Canis lupus familiaris: one gene and its partners. The protein of the gene in region 1 binds, or shares a complex with, the protein of each later gene. Links are inferred from orthologs where the notes say so. Each region holds a gene or a part of one and is shown in the gene's direction. Other genes may lie near its edges. The genes, in order: RBL1, ARID4A, TFDP1, MYBL2, TFDP2, E2F4 and E2F5.

The links.
Region 2: the proteins of RBL1 (region 1) and ARID4A are in contact, whole or in part, in a crystal structure (PDB 7SMC), measured with the Homo sapiens proteins. The link is inferred for Canis lupus familiaris from reciprocal best matches to the Homo sapiens genes RBL1 and ARID4A. Residues at the interface, in NP_002886.2 of Homo sapiens: Tyr849, Ile850, Lys853, Val854, Thr860, Phe861, Gln862, Met865, Lys866, Arg869, Tyr879, Arg880, Asp929, Leu930, Ile931, Tyr934, Asn935, Val939, Ala946, Leu947; in NP_002883.3 of Homo sapiens: Leu957, Val958, Cys959, His960, Glu961, Val962, Asp963, Leu964, Asp965, Asp966, Leu967.
Region 3: the proteins of RBL1 (region 1) and TFDP1 are in contact, whole or in part, in a crystal structure (PDB 5TUV), measured with the Homo sapiens proteins. The link is inferred for Canis lupus familiaris from reciprocal best matches to the Homo sapiens genes RBL1 and TFDP1. Residues at the interface, in NP_002886.2 of Homo sapiens: Tyr1004, Phe1006, Asn1007, Ser1011, Leu1014, Ile1017, Asn1018, Ile1021; in NP_009042.1 of Homo sapiens: Pro260, Phe261, Ile262, Thr290, Phe291, Glu292, Ile293, His294, Asp295, Ile297, Glu298.
Region 4: RBL1 (region 1) and MYBL2 share a complex: the UniProt entries of both Homo sapiens proteins name them as parts of the DREAM complex. The link is inferred for Canis lupus familiaris from reciprocal best matches to the Homo sapiens genes RBL1 and MYBL2.
Region 5: RBL1 (region 1) and TFDP2 share a complex: the UniProt entries of both Homo sapiens proteins name them as parts of the DREAM complex. The link is inferred for Canis lupus familiaris from reciprocal best matches to the Homo sapiens genes RBL1 and TFDP2.
Region 6: RBL1 (region 1) and E2F4 share a complex: the UniProt entries of both Homo sapiens proteins name them as parts of the DREAM complex. The link is inferred for Canis lupus familiaris from reciprocal best matches to the Homo sapiens genes RBL1 and E2F4.
Region 7: the proteins of RBL1 (region 1) and E2F5 are in contact, whole or in part, in a crystal structure (PDB 5TUV), measured with the Homo sapiens proteins. The link is inferred for Canis lupus familiaris from reciprocal best matches to the Homo sapiens genes RBL1 and E2F5. Residues at the interface, in NP_002886.2 of Homo sapiens: Ser1000, Ala1001, Leu1002, Leu1003, Tyr1004, Lys1005, Phe1006, Asn1007, Ile1017, Met1020, Ile1021, Gly1024, Glu1025; in NP_001942.2 of Homo sapiens: Met162, Ile190, Ala192, Pro193, Ser194, Gly195, Thr196, Gln197, Leu198, Glu199, Val200, Pro201, Ile202, Pro203, Glu204, Met205, Tyr213, Leu217.

Annotation. Positions count from the first base shown.
Region 1 is NC_049245.1:26,287,936-26,291,435, reverse strand, and holds part of RBL1 (retinoblastoma-like protein 1), read left to right. Parts: intron 1-734; coding exon 735-946; intron 947-3,500. UniProt on the Homo sapiens protein: Key regulator of entry into cell division. Directly involved in heterochromatin formation by maintaining overall chromatin structure and, in particular, that of constitutive heterochromatin by stabilizing histone methylation.
Region 2 is NC_049229.1:33,999,709-34,003,208, forward strand, and holds part of ARID4A (AT-rich interactive domain-containing protein 4A), read left to right. Parts: intron 1-108; coding exon 109-206; intron 207-710; coding exon 711-942; intron 943-3,500.
Region 3 is NC_049243.1:61,025,366-61,029,440, forward strand, and holds the start of TFDP1 (transcription factor Dp-1), read left to right. Parts: upstream 1-1,275; 5' UTR 1,276-1,357; coding exon 1,358-1,384; intron 1,385-4,075. UniProt on the Homo sapiens protein: Can stimulate E2F-dependent transcription.
Region 4 is NC_049245.1:31,976,504-31,980,003, forward strand, and holds part of MYBL2 (myb-related protein B), read left to right. Parts: intron 1-567; coding exon 568-660; intron 661-853; coding exon 854-1,074; intron 1,075-3,500. UniProt on the Homo sapiens protein: Transcription factor involved in the regulation of cell survival, proliferation, and differentiation. Transactivates the expression of the CLU gene.
Region 5 is NC_049244.1:38,314,548-38,318,047, reverse strand, and holds part of TFDP2 (transcription factor Dp-2), read left to right. Parts: intron 1-147; coding exon 148-310; intron 311-3,500. UniProt on the Homo sapiens protein: Can stimulate E2F-dependent transcription.
Region 6 is NC_049226.1:82,754,895-82,757,756, reverse strand, and holds the end of E2F4 (transcription factor E2F4), read left to right. Parts: intron 1-1,021; coding exon 1,022-1,069; intron 1,070-1,260; coding exon 1,261-1,305; intron 1,306-1,406; coding exon 1,407-1,522; 3' UTR 1,523-2,362; downstream 2,363-2,862. Other genes in the region: ELMO3 (engulfment and cell motility protein 3), read left to right, coding at 2,755-2,832. UniProt on the Homo sapiens protein: Transcription activator that binds DNA cooperatively with DP proteins through the E2 recognition site, 5'-TTTC[CG]CGC-3' found in the promoter region of a number of genes whose products are involved in cell cycle regulation or in DNA replication.
Region 7 is NC_049250.1:32,350,466-32,353,965, forward strand, and holds part of E2F5 (transcription factor E2F5), read left to right. Parts: intron 1-1,151; coding exon 1,152-1,261; intron 1,262-2,219; coding exon 2,220-2,381; intron 2,382-3,500.

The DNA of each region.
Region 1 (3,500 bases):
CGTGGCCTTTTTAACCCAGTTTCTTTTGAACCTATACTATTTTTTTTTAATTTATTATTTTAGAGCAGTTTTGGGTTCACAGCAAATTGAGTAGAAGGTACAGGGGTTTCCCATATACCCACTGCCACACATACACAGCTTCCATCACCATCAGCATCCTGCACCAGAATAGCATATTTGTTAACAATGGATGAACCTACATTGACACATCATTATTATCCCAAGTCTATAGTTTACATTAGGGTTCACTCTTGGTATTGTACATTGTATAGATTTTGACTAAAGTTTAATGACACATATCCACCATTATAGTATTATACAGAATAGTGTCATTGCCATAAAAATCCTGTTTCCATCTTTTGTTTTTGTTTTGTTTTGAACTTACACGGTTTTTTGAATTTTCACATTTTAAAAATTTACCATTCTTTTTGTTAAGACTATTTTACTTTTTTATCTGAGCTTTATGAATGAGTTGCAAAAATCTTGTTTCTTGATTAAAAACATCTCCTTTAGAGTTCAAAAGAAAACAGTATTTTTTCAGAGCAGAAATAGAAAACAAGGGTGTTATAACCTAGAATTAAAAAAAAAAATCTAGAATTAATATTTTTGTGGATTTCTTCTCCTTTTCTCACCTATTCCTATGTTTATACATAGATAGTTAAAGATAATTGACAACCTTTCTGGAACACATGCAGCTTATTTCTAAAACTGAAAACTCTTGTTTATATGTTTAGGTATTGCAAATGATGCTGGAGAAATCACACTGATACCAATTTCCATGAACACAGCTCAGGAGTCCAAAGTCGAGAGTCCTATATCACTTACTGCTCAGTCATTAATTGGTGCTTCTCCGAAACAGACTCATCTGACTAAAGCGCAAGAGGCACATCCAACTGGAATAAGCAAACCAAAGAGAACTGGTTCTTTAGCACTGTTTTATAGAAAGGTATGTGATTTTATGGCATCCAAAAGATCTCATTTGGGGTGCCTGGCTGGCTCAGTCAGTAGAGCATGTGACTCAATCATAGGGTTGTAAGTTCGAGCCCTATATTGGGTATAGAGATTATTTAAAAATAAAATGATCTCATTTAATCAGTGCATCTATTGAGTAATAGAGCACCTTTAGCATTCTCTTTTGTGTGTATGGTAAAATATACATAATATAAAATTTATCATTTTAACCATTTTTAAGTGTACAGTAAAGTTTCATTAAGTACATTCACATTGATACACAGTTTTCACCATCATCCATCCCAGAACATTGTCATCTTCCTAAACTGAAACTCTGTTCCAATTACAATAATTCCCCATTCCTCTTCCCACCACCAGCTCCCGGCAGCCACCATTCTTCTTTCTGTCTCTATGCATTTAACTATTCCAGGTACCTCATATAAGTACAAATATGCATCCTTTTGTAACAGGGTTTGTTTCACTTAGCATAAGTCTTCAAGATTCATCCATATTATAGCATCATTCAGAATTTCCTTTTTAAGTCTGAATAATATCCCACTGTATTTATATATCACATTTTGTTTTTCAATTCATCCATACATGAACATTTAGGTTGTTTCTACCATTTGGTTATTGTGAATAATGCTGCTATGAACATTAGTGTACAAATATCTACTCAAGTCTCTGTTTTCAGTTTTCTTGTATATATACCCAGAAGTGGAATAGTAATTCTGAATTTAATTTTTTGAGGAACTGTCATACCATTTTCCACAGTGTCAGCCCCATTTTATATTCCTGCTATAGAGACGCCTGGGTGGCTCAGGGGTTGAGTGTCTCTGCCATCAGCTCAGGGCATGATCCTGGAGTCCCGTGATGGAGTCCTGCATTGGGCTCCCTGCATGGAGTCTGCTTCTGAATCTGCCTGTGTCTTTGCCCCCCTCCTTCTCATGAATAAATAAATTCTTTTAAAAAAACAGTTTTATATTTCTGCTACCATACATGAGGTTCCAAGTTCTCCACATTCTTGTCAACTCTGTTTTCTGTTATTTTTTAAGATTTTATTTATTTATTGATGAGAGACACAGAGAGAGAGGCAGAGACATAAGGCAGAGGGAGAAGCAGGCTCCATGCAGGAAGCCTGATGTAGGACTCCATCCCAGGACCCCAGGATCACACCCTGAATCAAAGGAATACAGATGCTCAACCACTGAGCAACCCACATGTCCCATGTTATTTTTGATAGTAGCCATTTTAATGAGACTGAAGAGTGGGGAGGGCACGTTCGTGGCTCAGTCGGTTAAGTCTCTGCCAGATCATGATGGCAGGGTCCTGGCATTGAGCCCCGCATCAGGCTCCCTGCTTAGCAAGGAGTCTGCTTCTCCCTCTCTCTCTTCCCTCCCTGCTCATGCTCGCTCTCGCTTGCTCTTTCTCAAATAAATAAAATCTTAAAAAAAAAAAAAAGAAAAACAGAATGAAGTGGTATCTCATAGTTTTGATTTGCATTTCCCTAATTATTAGTGGTGTTGAGCATCCATCATGTGTTTATTGGCCATCTGTTTTCCTTGGAGAAATATTTATTAAAGTCTTTTGCCCATTTTGTATTTGAGTTTTGTCATTGAGCTGTAGTTCTTTATATATTCAGGATAAGAATCCTTATCAGGTTTATAATCTGCAAGTATTTTCTCCCATTCCAGGAGTTTCCTTTTCTCTGTGTTGATAGTCATTTTGACTTTGAAGAAGTTCAGTTTGTCTATGTTTTATTTTACTGTCTTTTCCTTTTTGTGTCATATCCAAGAAATCATGGAGCATTCCAATGTCATGAAGCTTTTCCCCCTGTTTTTTTGTAGGAGTTTTATATTTTCAGCAATTGTGTTTAATTCTTTGATTCACTTTGAGTTAATTTTGTATATGGTAGAAGATGAGGATCTATCCTCATTCTTTTGCATCTGTTTTCTCAACACTATTTGTTGAAAAGACTCTTTCCCCTTGAATGGTCTTGGCACCATTTTCCAAAGCCATTGAACCATATGTGTGACAGCTTATTTCTGGGCTCTTTTCTAAGCATTGTCCTCGTAATTTCTTTTTTTTCTTTTTAGGATTTTATTTATTTATCCATGAGAGAGACACGGGGCAGGGGTGGGGTACAGAGACACAGGTGGAGGGAGAAACAGGTTCCATGCAGGGAGCCCAATGTGTGGGACTCAACCCTGGGACCCCAGGGCTCACGCTCTGAGCCAAGGCAGACACTCACCACTGAGCCACCCAGGCATCCCTGTCCTCTTAATCTCTGTGTTTATGGTAGTCCTATACTGTTTTGATTACTAGAACTTTGTAGTGTGTTTTAAAATTGGGAAATGTGAGCCTTCCAACTTTGTTCTTCTTTTTCGAGATTATTTTGGCAATCCAGAGCCCCTTGAGATTCCACATGAGTTTTAGGATGGATTTTTCTTAAGATGGATTTTTCTATTTCTGTAAAAAAACATCATGGGGATTTTGATAGGGATTGCACTGAATCTAAATTGCTTTGACTAGTATTGACATCTTATTAC
Region 2 (3,500 bases), on another chromosome or scaffold:
GTTATATGCACTGTAGGTGATAAACACATTTTCTTAATGAACCTAGAATATTAGTGTAAAGATTATTTCCTTTTGTAAATGTTAACAAATAAAAACTTAATTTTCCAGATTGATAGTGGTGCTGTATGGAAGCAAATTTATATGGACCTTGGCATTCCTATTTTGAATTCAGCTGCTTCCTACAATGTAAAAACTGCTTATAGAAAGTAAGTAGTATAGTTTATTCATCAAAGAATACATATTACAGGAATATTTTCCATTTAATTTGTTAACAATTAAACAAAAACACATCAAGGAACATTTAGTTAGAGAAAGTATATAAAAAGTTTTAGGTTAATAGATATTAGTGACTGAACGTTATTTCATCACACCAAGTCTACTTTATTCCATTTCTCGTGTTGTCTTGATTTCCTTTTCAAAGTCTGGGATGTGGTACGTTAATAGTATGAAACGATGATACATGTTTATAGAGTTATATTACTTATGTTGAATAGCCTTCATATCAAAACTATTATAGCTTTTTCAGGAAGAAATTTTATGATCAGTATTTCTGTTTATAATCCTGTATAAAGCACTGAGAAACTAGTAATAGAAAAAGTACTTTAAAAAAAGTCTCGAGTATTACTTTATAAAAATATGTGTGTTTAATAATATAGTATTTAAGTTAAATGTAAAGACAAAGATTTCTTAAAATGAAACTGTTTGTTTAGGTATCTCTATGGTTTTGAGGAGTACTGCCGTTCTGCAAATATTCAGTTCAGAACTGTCCACCACCATGAACCAAAAGTAAAAGAAGAAAAAAAAGACTTAGAAGAATCAATGGAAGAGGCTTTAAAAGTAGATCAAGAAATGCCTTTAGTGGAAGTGAAGAGTGAACCTGAGGAAAATATTGATTCAAACAGTGAAAGTGAAAGAGAAGAAATAGAATTAAAATCTCCAAGAGTAAGTACTTAATATTAGTTTTACCTGGTTTATTTTAAACATTAAATTTTTATTATGGACATTTTCAGATCCACACAAAAATAAGCCAGTGAACCTAGTTTATTTTCCAGTATTGAGTTGTGCATTAGGCAGACTAGCCTGGCTATTTTTTTCTAGATATAGCACATCTTCTTTCTTCTACCTAAAATACCATTCCTCCTGTTGTTTTCTATTTATGTCTGTTCAGATCATTCTCATCTGTGGTCAGTCTCACATATTTACTTCCTTCAAGTCTTACTAAAAGTCTCCCTTAGTATATAATTCCTTTGTAGAGATTGTCATCCATTGTTTTTGATCATTGTTGAATGATGTCTACATGGTAGGATTTATCAAATTTTAGGAGAAAAAATTTTTTCACACTATCAATGGCATTCATTTACTGTTACATCTTTTTTTTTTTTTAAGTTTTTATGTATTTATTTGAAAGAGAGAGTGAGAGAGAGAGAGAGGGAACAGAGGGGATGGGCAGAAGAAGATGCCCTGCTGAGCAGGGAGCCTGATGCAGAGCTCAATCCTGGGACTCCAGGACCATGACCTGAGCTGAAGGCAGACACTTTGCCAACTGAGTCACCCAGGTGCCCCTGTTACATCTTATTTTTTAGTGAAATCATGTTTAGTCAAAGAAGAAATGAAATTACCTCTTTTAGTTGCTCAGAAACCATTTTTTTAAAACTGTCCATTTTGACCATCATCCAGTAAATGGAATCTTCCAATGAATTTCATGAAACATTCAAATTGGTTTGCTTCATTTCTTTTTAATTTTTAATTTTAAAAAATTGTGGTAAATACACATACTATGTATCCTCTTAACCATTTTTAAGCATCAGTTCTGTGGCATTAACTATATTCCCAGTGTTTTGCACTCATCACCACTGTCCCTTGCCAGTACCTTTTTCATCTTGCAAAACTGAAACTAGCCATTAAACAATAACTCCCCATTCCCCTCTACCCAAGATTGTGGCAAAACCATTCTACTTTGTCTCTTTGAATTTGACTACTCTAGGTACCTCATATATATGGAATCTTACAGCTTTGTCCTTTTTTGACTGGCTTATTTCACTCAGTATAATGTCTCTCAGGTTCATTCCTGTGTATGTGTCACAATTTCCTTCCTTTTTAAAACTGAATATTCCTTCCTAAGACTGATTGTCTCCCATTATATGTATTTTGGACATACTTTCCTGTCATTAAAGATGTTCCTCATCTTTTGTAAATTATCTTCAGAGTACTACATAATATACATATACCATAAATTCACCTTCCTTAAAATTTTCTCCAATTTTTTATGATTACAAAAAGTGCTGTAATAAATATACTTGTAAAAATTCCTCCTCATTGGTCTGAATATAGAGGGAAGACTTCTAAGAATGGGATTTCTAGGGCACCTGGCTGGCTCAGTCAGAAGAGTATGTGACTCTTGATCTCAGGGGTGTGAGTTCAAGCCCCACGTTTTGAGATTACTTAAATAAGTAACTTAAGAAAAAGGTATATAGGTCTAAAGTCTGATAGATAGCAGTTGTTTTCATTCATTTACCTACACGTATTTAAAGAAAAGTTGCTCTGTGCATAGGATATAGAAGTATATAAGACCATCTCTGCCCTCATGGAATTTACATTCTAGTTCTTTGTGAAAAGAAAAATACACTTTTTTTCTAACTTTGAAGTTTATTTTTTTATTTTTTAAAGATTTTATTTACTCGTGAGGGACGGACAGAGAGAAAAAGAGAGAGAGGCAGAGACACAGGCAGAGGGAGAAGCAGGTTCCATGCAGGGAGCCTGATGTGGGACTTGATCCTGGGACTCTGGGATCTCACCCTGAGTGGAAGGCAGACACGCTTAAGCCCTGAGCCACCCAGGGGTCCCTAACTTTCAAGTTTATTTTTTTTATTTTTTTATTTTTTTCAAGTTTAAATAGCACATAGGAACTAGGGAAAACATTTGTTATACTGAAATACTAGTTGTTATTTTAGTACTCTCTAAGTTGTTGGTCCCCCCTTTTTTATTTTTAAAGATTTTATTTATTTACTCATGAGAAACACAGAGAGAGAGAGAGAGAGAGAGAGAGAGAGGCAGAGACACAGGCAGAGGGAGAAGCAGGCTCCATGTAGGGAGCCTGATGCAGGACTCAATCCTGGGACTCCAGGATCATACTCTGGGCCAAAGGCATGCACTAAACCTCTGAGCTACCCAGGGATTTCCCCCCCTCCCTTTTTTAAAGATTTTATTTGTTGGCCCCTTTTCTATCCTCACTTTATTCCAAGTAGAGGGAAACTGCCAGTGTGTAGCGGTGGACCTGAAGGAGAATTTAGGAGAGAATGAAATGGCTCAACAGTTTCACAGTCAGTTGAGCATACAAGAGGCTAAATGAAAGCTTCTGGGGAAGAACAAATTACTACCAGCCCAGTGAGCTCCAAATACTTATTCAAAGAAATCAGCTCACCTGTTGGCCATGGATGCATTTTAGTCCTTTTATTTTTAAAATTTATTTTTATTTTTTTTAGAGAGAGAGCAAGAATGCT
Region 3 (4,075 bases), on another chromosome or scaffold:
TGCAGGTCCCCCCTGAAACGGGAGGTGTTGAGCAGCGTTTGGCATTCTGTGGTATGATTTGCAGTGTTGAGGTTTCTGCCCCGTGGCTGTGGCGTGTATCCATCAGGGAGCCAGGGAGTCTCCTGTGTGGCCCCGTGGGTGCTGTGATTCCTGGGAGTTGGTGTCTCTGTTGGCCTCTGTGGAAGGACTCCACTGCCCTCTTCCACACCCATCACTGCTGGTAGCACTGTGTCTGCCTCCTGCCGGCACTCCCAGCAGCACTCCATGCCCCCTCGGCCCAGACGTGCTTCTGATACTGTGGTTGGGTGCTGGCCACCGCTGCGTGTGCAAAGGGGCCCCTGTAAGGAGTATCACTGGGGGCTGGGGGCAAGGTCAGTAGAGGAGGGTGGTCCCTCTCTCAAGGCCCTTGTAGCTTCCTTCAGGTGCCCCACGTTTTGTGTGACTGTCCCTGAGGAGATCTGTGTGTAGGTTTCTCTTTCTCTGCTGGCTTTTCCACGTTTCCATGTCCTCATTGACTCTCCATCCGTTCATTGGCCCCGTTTGGGTGCTTTCATGCTTCTGTCTTTGAATGACTAGCCTACTGCCTCTTCTAGGAGGTGAAGTTCTGTTGGAGCGTCTTGCCATTTGTTTGAGACTTAACAGTGGCTGCTTGGGTGCCACCACTCAGCCCTTCCCAGCCTCCGTGCCGGGCTGGGGGACCGCTTCGATCTGGACTTGCCATGGGGGTTGTCTGCCCAGGCCTCTGTCCTGCCTTAAGGGGCTTCTGTTCCCCCGTGGGGACTTGTATTCCGTGGTAGGTAACCTGTTTGGAAGTAGAAAGTGTGCAGAGGTGGTGGGAAGCATGGGGCCTGCCCATGGAGGGGGGCAGTGAGGCAGCCCTGGCCTCCCCTCCCACCGGGAGCTGCGCCCTGCTGCCCTGTCACAGGCTTCATCTCCAACGGGCCCTGAGTTCTGGGGCTCTGTCCTGCTTGTCATGCGGGCGCCCAGAGGGAGTCTGTCTCATGGGGTGTGTTTCAGGGAGAGGATGGGGGTAGGGGGCGATGATGGGGTGGGTGGAGGGGGAGGAAGATCCAGGGTGGGCGGCAGGATGAGGCAGGGCCTTGCTGTGGCCCTCGCGCCTTGTGGGGGGTAGAGGGCGCTTGGAGGGACATGGGTGGACTTTCTGAAGCCTGGAGCCTGGTGACTTCTGGCTCGTTCTGTGAATCATCTAAAGTGGTCTTAATCCCCTTTCTGTCTGCCCTTGCAGTTGGCTCAGCTCTCCAGGCGGCTTGGTGACTTTCTGTGGGAGCGGGATCCTCGTTGCCCACATGAGAACATAGCAGCTGGTTTTGTTTTCATGTAGCACAAACATGAAAGGATGAATGCCATGTTTGTAAGAAAAACGGTTAGTTGTGGCACACGAGTGCTTCTGCTTTTGGTTTATGTGTTAACACAAATTTAGCATTTTGGTGTTTTTCTTACTGGAGGGTAGGTTTGCATTTTGAGTATAAAGACTCTGTCCTCACGCTTCTGCTGCTGTCGTGGGCCACTGTACCTGCTGCGCACGGGAGGGGTGCAGCCCTCGTGGGCTGTGCACCTCCAGATGAAGTAGACCTGCACAGCCTGCTGCACTCAAGTGTGTCTCTCCACAGAGAGCGGAATTGGGGGATGCGAGCTGGGTGGGGCCTGGGCTTCGTGTGGAAACTGTGTTGTGCTGTGAGTGTGGGCAGTTGGGCAGGATGAACCAGCACTGGAGCCAGTGTAGGTCATCCGTACAGGGAAGCCAGTTGGCCTCAGGAGTGTCCTGCTTGGTATCGCAGCTGCCAGGCCTCTGCTGCCTGAGTAGTCAGCGGTGATCCTGCCAGCCGGGCACCACAGGGCTCGCTTACTCCCAGGCCATCGCTCCTTGTGGACGCACTCATCAGGTGCTGTTGTCTGAGGTCAGGAAACCTAGATACGTTACTTTGGTCATGGCTGTTTGTCTTTGATAATTGGCAATGAGTGGTCTTACACCAGGAAATTTGTGCCAAATCTGTGTGCTACTGTTAAAGTTTGTTTCAGAAATATATTGAATGACTTCCCAGTTGATGAAAAGAAGCATTTTTTTTCCCTTAGGTTCTGTAGCAAAACGATTGACCACTGTCGTCATTGCTGTGAAACAAAGGACCCCAAAGCTCAGTGGTTAAAATAATAGTAAATGTTTATTCTCCTGCAGGGTTTCTGTGGGTCAGAATTTGGGAGTGGCTGGGTTGCAGTGGAGACACTGCCCGGCTCTGCAGCCACCAGAAAGTGTGTACCCAAAGCACTGGCCTCCACGGCAGCTGTACCCACGGGCCTTGTCACCTCTCCTGGTGACCCACAGTGGGACACAGCATACCATCTCGCCATCTCTGTTCCCACCTCGCCCCCAGGCGAGGACAGGTCTGCCTGATGGTGTGGCGATTTCCTGGAGCCTGACGCCCCAGCCCCAGCAGAGTGCCTGGGGCCCGTGGTTTCCCAGTTCTGTCTCATATGTTGGTCACCATCCCCCAGGCTTGGGGTACAAGCTGTTCTCCACATCACCCGTGAACAAGAGCATTAAAAGTAGTGTTTTTGTTTTTCTCATTTTGTTAGTGAAAAACAAGCTCGCACCTCTTGTGATTCTGACGCATGTTCTGTCTCCAAACAGATCATTTCTGTGTCTGGAAGACTTGCTGTGGGGTAAACTGGTCACCGTCCTGAGTGTGGACAGTGTAGGCGTCCACAGGAGCTGGTTGCCAGCTGCTTAGCTTCTTTCTAGGTCAGATTTGTTGTCCTGTGGTTCTTAGGCTCCGAACTGAAAACCAGGCTTGGGAATAAGACAGGTGTGTCTTTCCTGACCTGGCAGCTCTGGGCAGATGATCCCATCAGAGGCAGTGCATTTCCAGAAATGGCACCTATAGCCTCCAGGCGTTGTCGCACCTGGGGGGCTGCCAGCGTCTGGTGGTGGTGGCCTGTGTGCTGCTGGTCTAACAGTGAAGGGCAAACTGCGTCAGACAGGGTCTTCCCAGCCTGAGATCTGGACTCGTGCTGCTGGGACAGTATGCTCTGGATGTTGCAGCCGCTTTGTGCCTGGCCACTGCCCATCACTGGGCTCTCACGGGACAGAGTGAGGCTGGGCCCGGCCTGCTGCACAGGTGGTGGGTGCACCGCCCATATTAAAATTCCCAGCCCCCCTTTTACACGAGCTCTTTGGGAGTACAAGAGACAGGAATCTGACCGAGCATGAGCACTCAGGGTTCATGTGAGGGTTTTCCTGGTATCACGGAGCAGACCTGATACTTGTGGGGGACCTGTCTCTTGTCCAGTGCTTGTGTGGCTCCTTCATCCTCTGGGCTCTGCAGCTGCCTTCCTTTATGTCTTGTCCGTTGGTTCTCCAGTGGCTCCTCAGCTCTGGGTCCTGACATTGAGACTGGTAGGGACTGGCCTCTTCATCCATTCCCAGACTTTTCCAGAAAAGGTTGTGCTGGTCTCTTCTCGCCCAGGCCGCCCATTGGGTGCTACTGCAGGCAGCCCGTGGTGGGGGAAGATGAAGCCCTTCTGTTCCAGGGAGGACGGGCTGCTCTGACCTATAGCTCGAGTCAGACTGGGTGTTCCCCAGGGGGACTTGGGGCTTCCCAGCTTGGTTCTTGCTTTGGGTTGTGAGGGTTGCTAGGGTTGTGCCACTGCTGTGCCAACCATGAGCGCCATCTCTATGGGACAGGGGTGGCAGCATTCTTGGCATTCCAGTGAACGGCCAGTGAGCGCCAGAGCGGCACGTGCAGTGGCACCAGATCAGGGCAGATGCTGGGTCCCACCAGTCCTACCGGGGTAGACTCGTGAGGGCAGTCAGGCCCTGTTCTCATCGGGTCTTTGTCCAGCGTCCACTCATGCATCTGCTCTGGTGTGAAGGATTGTGGACAGGGCCTTCAGGGCCACATCTATGGGATTGAGGAGCCCTTGGGGCTGTGGGAAGGAGGAGCTGGCAGCGCCGGTGATGTGCCGGGGAGGGGGGTGTCTGGGGCTGTCTGACAGGTGCTGCTGTCATTGTGGGGGCACTGAGTCACTCTCCTGCTATAGCTAGGTCCTCGCTTCAAGG
Region 4 (3,500 bases), about 5.7 Mb from region 1:
GGCACATTTGCATTAGTCTCAGCAGTGAGGTTGAAACCAAGAGGAAGTGATACTTACAGCAGGCTTCCTGCCGAGGTCCCCCCCAGGGCAGCTGAAGCCTCCTGGGGATGCAGGTCCCCCATGTCCCCACCCCTAGGACTGCAGGTGTCTGGTAGGGAGGGGATGTGGCAGGAGCTGCTGTCTGGCTTATTCCCTGAGTCACTCGGCACCTCGGGTCACATCAGCAGACCCTTCCTACCCCATCCCTCACCTTCCCTGTTTCCATGAGATCTGAAACTTTCAGGGAAATAATGCTTTCCCGAGGCAAGGAAGGATTCCTGACATACACCACAAGCTTTTATAGGAATTTATGGTTCCTGATGGTTGTCTCTTTGTGAGGGGAGGAGGAGGAAGGGAAACTTCCTACAGGGAAAGCATGTGCGTTCCAACCTGTGGGAGTATAGTGTGTGGTGGGTGAAGGAAACAAAAAACCTGTGTGAGATAGGCCTGGCCCCTTGAACCCAGTGCTCAGCCAGGGTCCAAGGCTGCTCTCCTAGGAATCCTCACAGGTTCCTGTCCTCTTCCTAGAACCGCACTGACCAGCAGTGCCAGTACCGGTGGCTGAGGGTCTTGAATCCAGACCTCGTCAAAGGGCCATGGACCAAAGAGGAGGACCAAAAGGTAACTATCGGCACGCGGTGGGCCTTCACCCACCCCAGTGAATCAAGGGATGGTGAGGCTGTCTGGGGGTTGGCAAGGGTGTCAGCCAGCCCTCTCAGGGCTGTGGTGAGATGAGGCTTATGTGGAGGGAAGGTGCTGTGATGGGGATGAGGGAGGGGTGGGTTCCCCTGGCTTTACAGAGGCCTTTTCCAAGGTCATCGAGCTGGTCAAAAAGTATGGCACAAAGCAGTGGACGCTGATCGCCAAGCACCTGAAGGGCCGGCTGGGGAAGCAGTGCCGTGAGCGCTGGCACAACCATCTCAACCCCGAGGTAAAGAAGTCCTGCTGGACTGAGGAGGAGGACCGCATCATCTGTGAGGCCCACAAGGTGCTTGGCAACCGCTGGGCTGAGATCGCCAAGATGCTGCCAGGGAGGTGAGCTGCCATCTAGGGGCCAGGACAGGCGTGGATGTTCCTAGGAAGTGAGGGCATCCACTGGGCTATTGTGGGGGATAGTCCAAGAGCCAGTCCGATTTCTTTGCAGTTGTCACTTTTCCCAGAGATGAATGAATCCTTCAGATTCTTGCCTAGGGGTGCCCGTGCCTGATTATATAGGTAGTTTGGGATCAGGACAGGGAGTACCCTTTGTGTACAGATTTTCATTTTGTCCCCGTTGGAGCTCTGTGGACCATCCCTACCCTCTGCCAGGGTTGCCTGGTCCTTTTTCTCTAGAGAATAAACTTGTCTTCTCCTACATGCAAGATCAGGGCCAGGATCTAGATATTCAAACCCACTGCTTTCTCCCCCCTACTCCTTGCTGTGCCTGGTCCCTCTAAGAGCCTCTTGGGGTTCTGGGGAAGTATTTGGAAGACTTGGCTCCATTCTTGCCAGAATCTTCCTCTAGAGTCAATTCCCCTCTCCTAAATTGCTTATTGTTCCTCTTAAGTGCTGTCCATCCTCTGGAAACTTACAAAAATCTCTTATTTGTTTCTTATCTGTGGCTGTTTGCTACTGTTCACTTTGTCCTTGTGTGTTTCCCCCTTACTCAGTTTTTTTTTTTTTTTTTTTTTTTTTTTTAAGATTTTATTCATTTATTCGTGAGAGACAGAGAGAGTGTGTGTGTCAGGGACACAGGCAGAGGGAGAAGCAGGCTCCATGCAGGGAGCCCGATGTGGGACTGGATCCTGGGACTCCAGGATCACACTCTGGGCTGAAGGCAGGCACCAAACCTCTGAGCCACCCAGGGATCCCCTCAGTTTTATTTTTATTAAAAGATTTTATTTATTTATTTATTTATTTATTTATTTAGTCATGAGAGACAGAGAGAGGCAGAGACACAGGCAGAGGGAGAAGCAGGCTCCATGCAGGGAACCCGATGTGGGACTAGATCCCGGGACTCCAGGATCACACCCTGGGCCAAAGGCAGACACCCAACTGCTGAGCCACCCAGGCACCCCAGTTTTATTTTTAATCCTTGGTCATGACACTGTCGTCCTGGAGGGAGAGGAGACAAAATGCCAGATGGTGTATCTCCTCTGAAGTCTGAAATGGTCTAGATTCAAAACTCAAACCTGAGTGTGTCATTCTTTTGGTGCTTCTCCTAGCACTTGGGTTAGAGGCCTGGGTCTCTTTCCCTCTGTGACCTGCTTGCACTGGCTGATGCCACCAGCCTGGCCTTGATGTACTGTGACTCTTGCTTACCCATGGGGCTTTAGCTGCTCTGCTTTCCTCTGTTGGCCTGAGATGCACTCTGCTTGTGCCCATTGTGGAGCCAACACACTCCTTCAGCCCTTGGTGGGGTGTATCTCTCTTCCGACTGTGGCTGATCCCCTAGCAACAACCTCATTCTGCCCATACCCCTGCCTGGTCTGCACTCTGTCCTGCAGCGGGAGTGTTCGGGGATACAGACCCTCTCCTCTGACTGCTTGGTCAGTCCGGCTGTTGTTCATCATGTCTGTTCACGATTTAGAGGAAAAGCACTCTGCTTGGACTCCCAGAGAAGGAAGTGCCTACTGTGTGCTTGCATTTCTGTATATATGATGTGCTGTATACTGTTATACTCCCGTGTGCTGCTGTGGTACTATACTACCCTGTTCTCTAGTACTCTGCCTCGTGCCTTCCTAGTACTCTGCTACTCGGTGCTTCTGTACTGTGGCTGCCGGGTAGTCCTGCGGCTCTACTGCGGAGGCTTCTGCTATAGTGCTGTCCTACTCTATAGCTGTGTCCTCCTGCTGCCGTGCAGTCCTACAGCTCTACTGCTGAGGCTTCTGTAGTGCTGTCCTACTGTATAGCTGTGTACTCCTGCTGCCGTGCAGTCCTACAGCTCTATTGCTGAGTGTTTCTATAGTACCATGCTACTCCTATACTACTGCTGCTGTGCAGTCCTATAGCTGTACTGCTGTGGGCTTCTTTTTTTTTTTTTTTTCCTTTTTTATTTTTTATTTATTTATGATAGTCACACACACACACACACAGAGAGAGAGAGAGAGAGAGAGAGAGAGAGGCAGAGACACAGGCAGAGGGAGAAGTAGGCTCCATGCACCGGGAGCCCGACGTGCGATTTGATCCCGGGTCTCCAGGATCGCGCCCTGGGCCAAAGGCAGGCGCCAAACCGTGGCGCCACCCAGGGATCCCCCTTTTTTTTTTTTTTTTTTTAAGATTTTTATTTATTTATTCATGAAAGACACAGAGAGAGGCAGAGACATAGGCAGAGGTAGAAGCAGGCTCCATGCAGGGAGCCCAGTGTGGGACTCGATCCCAGGACCCAGGATCACACCCTGAGCCAAAGGTGGATGCTCAATCGCTGAGCCACCCAGGGGTCCCACTGCTTTGGGCTTCTGTACTACTATACTACTCTATAC
Region 5 (3,500 bases), on another chromosome or scaffold:
AAAAATTAAGTTCAGAACATTTCCTCATCTCTAATTCAATTTAAAATTGACCACCTAAAGCAAAAATCAAGTTAGTATATTCTCACATTACTTTATAGTTTCATAAAGGAAGTCTGGTGTATAAATATGCATTTTTTTCTCTTTTAGTAAACGAAGCAAAAAAGGAGATAAAAATGGAAAAGGCTTGAGACATTTTTCCATGAAAGTATGTGAGAAAGTTCAGCGGAAAGGTACAACGTCATACAATGAAGTGGCCGATGAGCTGGTATCAGAGTTCACCAATTCAAATAACCATTTGGCAGCTGATTCGGTAGGTAGATCATGCACTTGACATTGACTATGATGAGTGATAGAACAGTGTATCTCTAGGTTGACTGTGTCTTTTTTTTTTTTTTTTTTTTTTTTTTGACTGTGTCATTTTTTTAAGGACTCAGACAAGCTAGGGAATCCCCAACTCCTTTACGTGAGGGTTTCATATTGTCTTTTGGGGAATTCTTCTGTTGAGTTTTGTTTTAGAAAGGGTTCTTTTATTATCTATTTAAACATAAAGATTAGCATGTATTTTTTAAATATACTTTGGGGAGTTACAAAAGGAACATACTTTTTTAAAAAGATTTTATTTGTTTATTTGAGAGCACAGCAGGAGGAGCAGCAGGCAGAGAATATTCATAGAACATTATAGACATATTTATGGAACATGTAAGTCCTCTTTTTAACCACAGACCTTAATCTTTCTCCACAAAGGCATATTCACTATTACCAGATTCTTTAGTATCATCCCCAAAGTTCCTTAGGCATACACATAATAAAACCTATTCCCTATTTTATTTTATTTTATTTTATTTTATTTTATTTTATTTTATTTTATTTTATTTTATTTTATTTTTAAGATTTTGTTTATTTTGGAGAGCTACAGAACAGTTCTGTCACTCCCAAAAGGTTCTTTCTGCCTTTTGTAATGTATCCCTCCTTCCCTCCTTCTCCCTCTATCCCTAGGCAATTGCTGATCTGCTTTTTATCATTATAGATCAATTTGCACTTTATTTAAATGTGATCATATTATATATACTCCACAATTCTTAAAATAGTTCTTGACCTTACTGGAAATATGTTTAATATTCCAATCTTAATTATGACAAGGGTTTTATTTTGAAATGATAGCATCCATAACTTGATTTTTTAAATGAATGTTTCTTTTTTTAATTTTTTATTATTTATTTTTAAGATTTTATTTATTCATGAGAGACACAGAGATGCAGAGACACAGGCAGATGGAGAAGCAGGCTGCCTACAGGAAGCCCAATGTGGGACTCGATCCCAGGATCCTGGGACCACACGCCAAGCCACCCAGGCATCCTGAATGTTTCTTTTTTCTTAACTAAAAATAATCAGAAATGGATATTTAATTTATTCCAATTTTGTGTAGTTTTGAAAATTTGGGTATTTTACACTGACAGTCCTAAATGAGATTGATGTAATCTTTTTGTTTTTACCATCTTTGCAGTTGTTTTTTTTTTTTTTTTTTTTTCCATCTTTGCAGTTTTGATTTGCAGTGTTATGCTGGGCTTTTTAAAATTTAGAGGGTTTTTTTCCTTCTTCCACTTTACTCCATTATAGGTTTAATAGCATTAGATGTGTATTTTGCTTCCCTGACATTTTATAGAATAGAAATCACCTCTGATACCATCTAGGCATGGTGATTTGGTGGGGGGTAATGCTTAGATAGCATTCTCCATTTTTACTTTGGTAATTAGCCTGTTTAGAATTTTTGTCTCCTTTAGTATTTTATGGTTTCTTAGAAAATCCTCCATTTCATACATGTTCTTAAAACTATTTGCAATTATTTTTCCCAAAGAACCATCTCCTAAATTTGTATGGACTCTTCTGTTTTGTAGTTAATTTCTTTTTTTTTTCCTATGTTCATTTAATAGTATCTTCTCTTTCCTGAAGTTACTTTTGTTATTTTTCTATCCTGTAGATTATGATATATACTTTATTTACTTTGATTATTTTTGTTTAGTAATGAAAATGTTTTTTTTTTTTTTTTTATTTATTTATTTATTCATGAGAGACACAGAGAGAGGGGCAGAGACACAGGCAAGGGAGAGGCAGGCTCCTCACAGGGAGCCCGATGTGGGACTTGATCCCTGGACCAGGGATCACACCCTGAGCCAAAGGCAGACGCTCAACCACTGAGCCACCCAGGCGTCCCAATGAAAATGTTTATAGCTGTGACTTATCCTCATGTGCACTGCTTTAGCCATTTCCCATTGATTCTGATATATTACTCTTTAAATATTCTGCAACTTTGGTTTTAGTTTCCTCTCTGACCTAAGAATGGCATTAGAATTTTTATATTTCCAGGTAATAGGGATTTTTTTTGTAAATTGAACTATTTATATATTTTTTAAAATTGCTTTGAGATTTTTCTTGTGAGCCATTATTTGGTAATGCATTTTTTTTCTTTTCTCTGGCACCTGTAGAGAAGGTATGTCGCATTCTGATTCTGAGTGAAAGTGGAAATTTTCAAAATGTTCTACAAGACCTATATGATCTAGCCCACCATTACCTCTCTCATCTCATCTCCTACTAGGAACTCTCCCAGTTACTATACTCTAGCCACCTTATGATAAAAGTTTTATCTTGAAATTATAGCAACCATAACTTGATCTTTTAAATGAATATTTCTTTCATTTTTCTTAATTAAAAAATTCAGAAATGGATATTGAATTCAATCAAATTCTGTGTGTTTCCTGAAAATTTAGGAGTTTTACACTGACAGCCATGAATGAGATTGGTGGGTTTTTGTTTGCTTTTTGTTTCGGGGTGAATATGCCAGGTACGTTCCTTATCAGACTGTTAGACTTGCTATTTCCTATGTCTGAATCTCTGCTAAGGAGCCATATGGTTTCTCTCTTCTCTCCAATTTTTATTCAGATGTCACTGTACCGAGGCATTTCTTCTTAACACATTTTATCATCTAATATAAATTTTAACTTACCAACCCCATCCTCATCCCTGAATACAAGCAAGAGTTGGGGGTTTTCTGTCTATTCACTGCTGTGTTATTTTTTTTTTATAAATATATAAATTGGAAGGTTTGTAGTCTTTAGTTCTTTAACTGGTTATCTTTATAACTTTAAGTAACTTCAGTATTTTGTTTCTTTTGTTGTTACCTATAAACCAATATCTGTTGATTATGAAGGGAAAAAGTTAATATGCTTCTATCTACTTGCATGTCCCATCTTTTGTCTACCACAGATACAGATTGAATATCTTAGTGGTAGTTGTTAAAAGAGTAATATTATTACAGTTTGTTTTTATGACTTTAAATAAATATATTGTGCCAAAACCTGTGTTACTATTTACTTCATCTGTTTAAATAGTTAATCTGCTTTGAATCCCATACCCCTTAAAATAGCAAGGAGAACACGAGCAAGCCTATTTTGTTGTCTCCTCCTGGTATTTTTTTACTATATTATCATTATTTCCACAGTGCC
Region 6 (2,862 bases), on another chromosome or scaffold:
GGCTTCAAAAGTGGGGGCAGTGTCTTCCCAGGGGACGTGATGTCATTTGCCTTGAGTCTTCTTTTTATCCTGCGATTTGGGTATTCGCTTCTAGGACTCGTTCTCCTCAGCCCACAAGCACCAGTCTCTTCTCACTGACACTGTCCTCTGTGTTCCCTCTCTCACCTTCACTGGGTCCTTAACTGAAACTAGCTTTTCTCTGTCAGTGTGTACCCTACTATTGGCCCTGGTCCCTCAGGCCTGACACCTGCACATCATTCTGCTTCCATCTCCTCTTCGCTTTGCATTAACTGAGTTTTGTCTCAGACATCTCCCATCGCTGCCTTCATGTCCTCATACTCAGGGTCATTACTGGCTACCTCTGTCCTGAATTCTTCGGCATCTTCCGCTCTACCCTGACTGATAGGGTTGTCTGAAACACAGGTTGTGTGTGCCATTTCTGAGTTTACAGAGTACCTCCAACAGCTTCTTAAGGGCTGGTGGGTAAGAGCAGAGCCCCCTCACCTGGTATGTGCAGTCCTCGTGCACCAGCACTCTGCTAGTTTAATTTTCCCCTGCTCCACACGTGTGTCCTCCAGTCAGACCTTTGTAGCAGACTTGTCACCCTGTAGCACCAGCGCCTATCGAATGTCTGCCTGCTTTGCCAGATGACCTGGTCCCGGGTGTGGTCGCTGAGCCTAGCATTGAGCAGGTGCTCAGCAAGGGCAGGAGTGAGTGGGGCAGCCGCCATCAGACAGGGCATACCTACTGAGCCCGTGAAGGGAGGGGTCTGCTGCCTTTCTGCAGCACTTCTGAGTTAGAAGGGCCGTATCAGTCACCTGCGATGAGCCTTTAGTACCCTGGGTACTCAGGAGTTCACATCTAGCCAGGGAGACTGACAACGCCAGCTTGGCCTGGGGCATGCCCTCCACCTCCAGCTGTGTGGAGCCCCAAGATGGGTGGTAGATCTGAGGAAGGTGGGGGCTGGAATGGGACCAGACTGGATCTCTGTGCCCTCCAGCATGGCTTTCTTGTCTTTCAGTTCTGGAACTCCCCAAAGAGCTGTCAGAAATCTTTGATCCCACAAGAGGTAGGTCTGCACTCTTCCGTGGGGTAAGGGTCTCATGGTTGTTTTCTTGCACTTCTGAGGCCCTGTGATTGCGTTTGGTACCTGGACAAAAAGTTCTTGATGGGGGGGTGGTGCGTGGAGGGCCCTCTTCATGGGCTTTGGTGGGTGGAGAGCCAGGAGCCAAAATGTAACCCAGCTTTTCCTCCCTCCAGAATGCATGAGCTCAGAGCTGCTGGAGGAGCTGATGTCCTCAGAAGGTGGGTGGCCCAGGAAGGTGGAGGGTGGGGGTGGGAGTGGGGGCTGGGCAACTGCTGGGGGCTGTGCTTGGCCCAGGGCCTCAGCCTGGTGCTCTCTGCAGTGTTTGCCCCCCTCCTCCGCCTATCTCCACCCCCCGGAGACCACGATTACATCTACAACCTGGACGAGAGTGAAGGTGTCTGTGACCTCTTCGATGTGCCTGTTCTCAACCTCTGACTGACAGGGACATTCCCTGTGTGGCTGGGACACAGACTGTGTGACCTGGGGGCTGCCTGAGGACCTCCCCTGCTCTACCCCTACACGGCTTGAGAGCCACAGACTCCTGGCTTCCCCAGCCTTCCCTCACTGCAGTTCTGATCAAAACTCCCACTCCTGCACGAGTAGAGCACCTGTACCGTGCTAGGAAAGCAGGGGAAAGGGGCTCAGCCCCCTTCACCATGGAGCCAGAGCGTTTGCCTCTCCTTTTCTGGGGCTTTCCCCCACCTCATGCCCTCTCCGAGCCCTCTCAGAGCCAAGGCTCGGCTGCCACTCAGTGGCACAGATCTGAAGACCTGCCATCATCCCCATAGGGCAGCTTGTCCAGCCCCACTGCCCTGTTCCAGCCAACGCCTCCCACTCTGGGGAGGAAAGCTGAGGGTGGAGCCAGATGCTTGCCAGCACCACTCCGAGCCTCCTTCCCTTCTCCCCACCCCTGACCCTGCAGCTTCCCCTAGACCTCTCCTGTGTACCCCTCATCTGCTGGACCTTTAGCTCTGAGTACCTATGGGGGCGGGGGGAGGAGAATGGCTGTCAACCAGAAGGAACAGAGAGGTCTTTAGCTAGAAATCTGGGCAGGTGAGCCCCTGAGGATTGGCCCAATCTCCTGCTGCCCTGTAGACCAACCCTCCCTTCTTGTTTATTCATTTACCCTCATTTAGAGCCATTTGCAGAGATTTAGAAAGATTTGCAGTAACGAATGGATTCCTATATAAAGATTATTTTTATACTTTTTGCAGCAAAAGAAAATTGTAATATTTGTACAGTATCCAAGTGAATAAAAGACCATGCCTAAGGCTATCTCTGATCTGGTTCTTTCAGGGCCCCTCCCTGCAATTCTGCTGGATTGGTGGTGGGACCGGGCGGGTCACCTTTGTTGGAAAGGGAGGTGTGGCTGTTGCGGTATCCCGCCCTCCCCGCCCCCACCTGGCGCACCTAGGGGCGGGGCGGGGCTGCCGGGGCGGGGCAGGGCAGGCGCCTTCCCACGGGACTCCAACCCGGAACTAGTCTCGGCTCCCTTGGGAAGGCCGCGGCCCCTGTCCAGGAGCCGGAGCCTGACCCGTGAGTGCGGGCCACGGGTCCAGGCCTTGGACAGAGGGACACCCTCGTTCTCGGAGGCACCAGACCAGGCGCTTCCTTGGCCGGACGTTGGACGGTCTGGAAACTACAGGCGCTCCTGCTCCGGCTGGACCATGGCGCCCCCGCGGAACGTGGTGAAGATCGCGGTCCAGAAGCCTGACGCCATCCCGCAGCTCATCCGACTGGACCAGGTCACTCGGCCTGTCTGGCCTCCATTCATC
Region 7 (3,500 bases), on another chromosome or scaffold:
CATTATATGAAGCTAAATTCTGTTCATTAATTTGGGTAACGTGCTGAGCTTTGCCAGTAAGGACATAAATGTGTTTTTCATTACTACCATGACTCTTATTATGTGACTCCACATTCAAGATAGGTTATTGTCTAACTCCCCCTGAAAAAGAGCTGTAGGATAACCTCTTTTTTAAGGTTTTGTCTATTGCATTAGGTAGAATGAAGCTCCCAAGTGTGAGTGGGAACCAGTTAGAGAAACAGTATGATATTCCTGCATTTTATTCGTATCATTAGATAGCATGAAATATTCTTCTTGACCTAACTTTTGTTGAGTCAGACTACCAAGCTTTCGTATTGTATCTGCTGGCACCATGACTTTGCGCCATAGATTCTGATTTCTTGTTGATTTTATGCTTTGTGTTGGGATGGCATGATGCACTCCTCCATTTTCACTGTGAATTTAAAAAATGTAGATAGTACATTTCAAGGTTCTACAAATGTATGTATAATATAGAATCCCCCCCCCCCCGCCAAGTATCTAGACTTAATTATTTAACAGGTTGCTGAGATGTAATTTTCCAAAGTTGAAAAAACAAGGCTATTTTTATTTTTATTTATTTTTTATTTTTTTATTTTTTAGATTTTATTTATTTATTCATAGACACAGAGAAAGGCAGAAACACAGGCAGAGGGAGAAGCAGGCTCCATGCAGAGAGCCCGACGTGGGACTCGATCCCGGGTCTCCAGGATCACACCCCAGGCTGCAGGCGGCACCAAACCGCTGCTATTTTTAGACGAGACTGTTTATGAACAGAGAAATAAAATAGGAAGTGACACGGGTAGACAATTAGTAGCTCCTCCTTGGGATTAGTCCATAAGATGACATGAAGTATTCTTACTGTGTTCTTTTATTTTTGCGGGCTTCGTGTCACGACCTTTAATATTTCATATATTTTTTCCCCACTCTAACATCTGCTGGCTTTTAAATGGAATAATTTCTTTGGTATTTGCTAGGTTTCAGAGCTATTGTTCCCAAGCAACTGACCAGGTCAAATTTGGGATTGGGCTCTCATGCTGTCAACTTAATAATTAATCTTTTTTTGGCTTTAAAATACGAATTGTCCTTTATTTCATTGTGCTTTGCCCCCCCACCCCCTTTTTAAAAAACAGGCTGCAGATACTCTGGCTGTGAGACAAAAGAGAAGAATTTATGATATCACCAATGTCTTGGAGGGAATTGACCTGATTGAAAAAAAGTCAAAAAACAGTATACAATGGAAGTAAGTCACAAACCAGCACCCTAGTCTAAAACCTTTATTTTTCTTCCTATGCTCTGTAAGATCTGACCTGTTTAGCTCTCCTAAATCCTCTCTCTTGGCCCCCTGGTCTCACCAGGCAGGCGCCTTGTCCTTCCCTGCACACCGCTCTGGGCCTCTGTATGTGTCACTCCTGTGTTGGCATGTTGCCTTGCTCTGTCCACTGTTGATTTACAGTCTGAACATTCACAACTTATTTTCTCCCTCAGGATGCTCATTTGGCACACACTGCATGCTGCTTTGTATTATTAATCCCTCTCTGCCTAAGTGTATAGCTGCCCAGCTAACATAAACTCCTTAAGATCAGGAACTACATGCTATATGTAGGAATGTGTACCATATATATAGTAAGTTGATCGAAATGCATGTTGTCATTTGTTAACTGTTGTATGGTTGTATGTTTGAATGTAAAAAATCCTTTCTGTTCTGCAGATTTGTCCCCTTTGGCCTTAGTTTTGTGTTTTGTTTTGTTTTAAAGCCAGAATCTCACCAAAATATTAAAAGGTGGTAATTTATTTTACCAGCATCTCAGTCTACATCTTGACACTTCCAGGTGTGACTGTTTAGCTCTGACACCCCTTTGGTGCCCGTCACTAGCCTGGCCTTTCAGAGGACAAGCACCATTCTAGGGCATACTGAAAACTTTTTTTTTTTTGACTTTATAAAAATTTTCATTTTCTGTATGGCAAAAACATTGAGAATTTTGATAATCTGATTGTTCTTGCTGATACATTTTCTAAGCAAATATATTCAGAGGTACGATGTTTAAGTTTTCTAAGGATTTTAATGCTTGATTTTTAGAAAATTACAAAGATTTTTGTTTTGAATAAATTACTAAGTCAGTTTTTATTATTACTATAAAAAGTAAATGATGTTAACCTGGGCCTGATACTGGGAATACTAATTCTTGTATGTTTTTAAGAGGTGTAGGTGCTGGCTGTAATACTAAAGAAGTCATAGATAGATTAAGATATCTTAAAGCTGAAATTGAAGATCTAGAACTGAAGGAAAGAGAACTTGATCAGCAGAAGTTGTGGCTACAGCAAAGCATCAAAAATGTGATGGACGACTCCATTAATAATAGATATCCTTTTAAATAAGTTACACATAAAATAAATAAATAAATAAGTTACACATATAGCTGTAGAATTTGTATTTATATATTTTCCAGTCTGAAGATCAGTTACTTTATTCTATTGTTTTTTAAAAAAGTTTTATAAGTGAATATATTTTAATTTTATATTATTCTAGTAATTTATACTAACATTTGAAAAGTTTTTACTTTTTAAAGTACATAATACATCTATTAACATTCTTGTGTTGCATTGAGAAAAATTCATCTACTTTCAATCTCTCATTGATAGGATGCAGTATGCTAGCTAAAGTGTGCATGGGGGTTTCTGAATATTAGAAGTCATTGTTAAATGTATAGGTATATTTAAATAATTATGCTCAGTGTTCTGAAGTGGTTAAAAATTCAGTAGTTCTGAAAGTTTTGAAAAATTAATATTTACTTAAAAATAAAATATCATGAGCCTGCAATCAATCCAGGATACTTTCTGCCTAATATTAACTCAAAGATAGTACCTGCTTGAGTTTGGGGACCAAGGCTTATGTATTTATCATATTACTTTGGGGAAAAAAATTAGCGTTTACTTCATGTGTTTCTTAAAAATCACTGTTCTCTTAAATACCAATGATTCTGTTGATTTGTAAACTTATGCATACTCTTATGGAATTTTTTAATGGCCTTTATCTCCTACCACTTCTCATGAATTTTGACTAATGTATACAACTAATTTTTTATGTTGTTTTGTAATCTGTTGAATAAGTCCATGATCTCATTTGCTATTTCCTTTCTATGAATCAAAGCTCCTTAACAGTTTGATAACAATGGGGTTTTCAAGCTGTGCCTTGTGGTGCCCCAAGATACAAAAACCATTGAACTAGTTGATCTCGGACTTTGCTGCACTGCTTTCCAAGATTTTGGCCATTCCCAATTCCCTAAACCATGACTCAGGAAGATTCTCGATTTGGAGGTCTATCTGGTCACTGTCCACTCCTGCTGATAACATCCTTTTCCCCATCAATATTTTCCCTTCCAGAAGCTCTGCTCCATGAGCAATATGCACTGTTTTTCATCTCCCTCTCAAAGGTCCTTAGATGTCACAGAAATAAAAAAATGACTTCTCAGAGCAAAGGA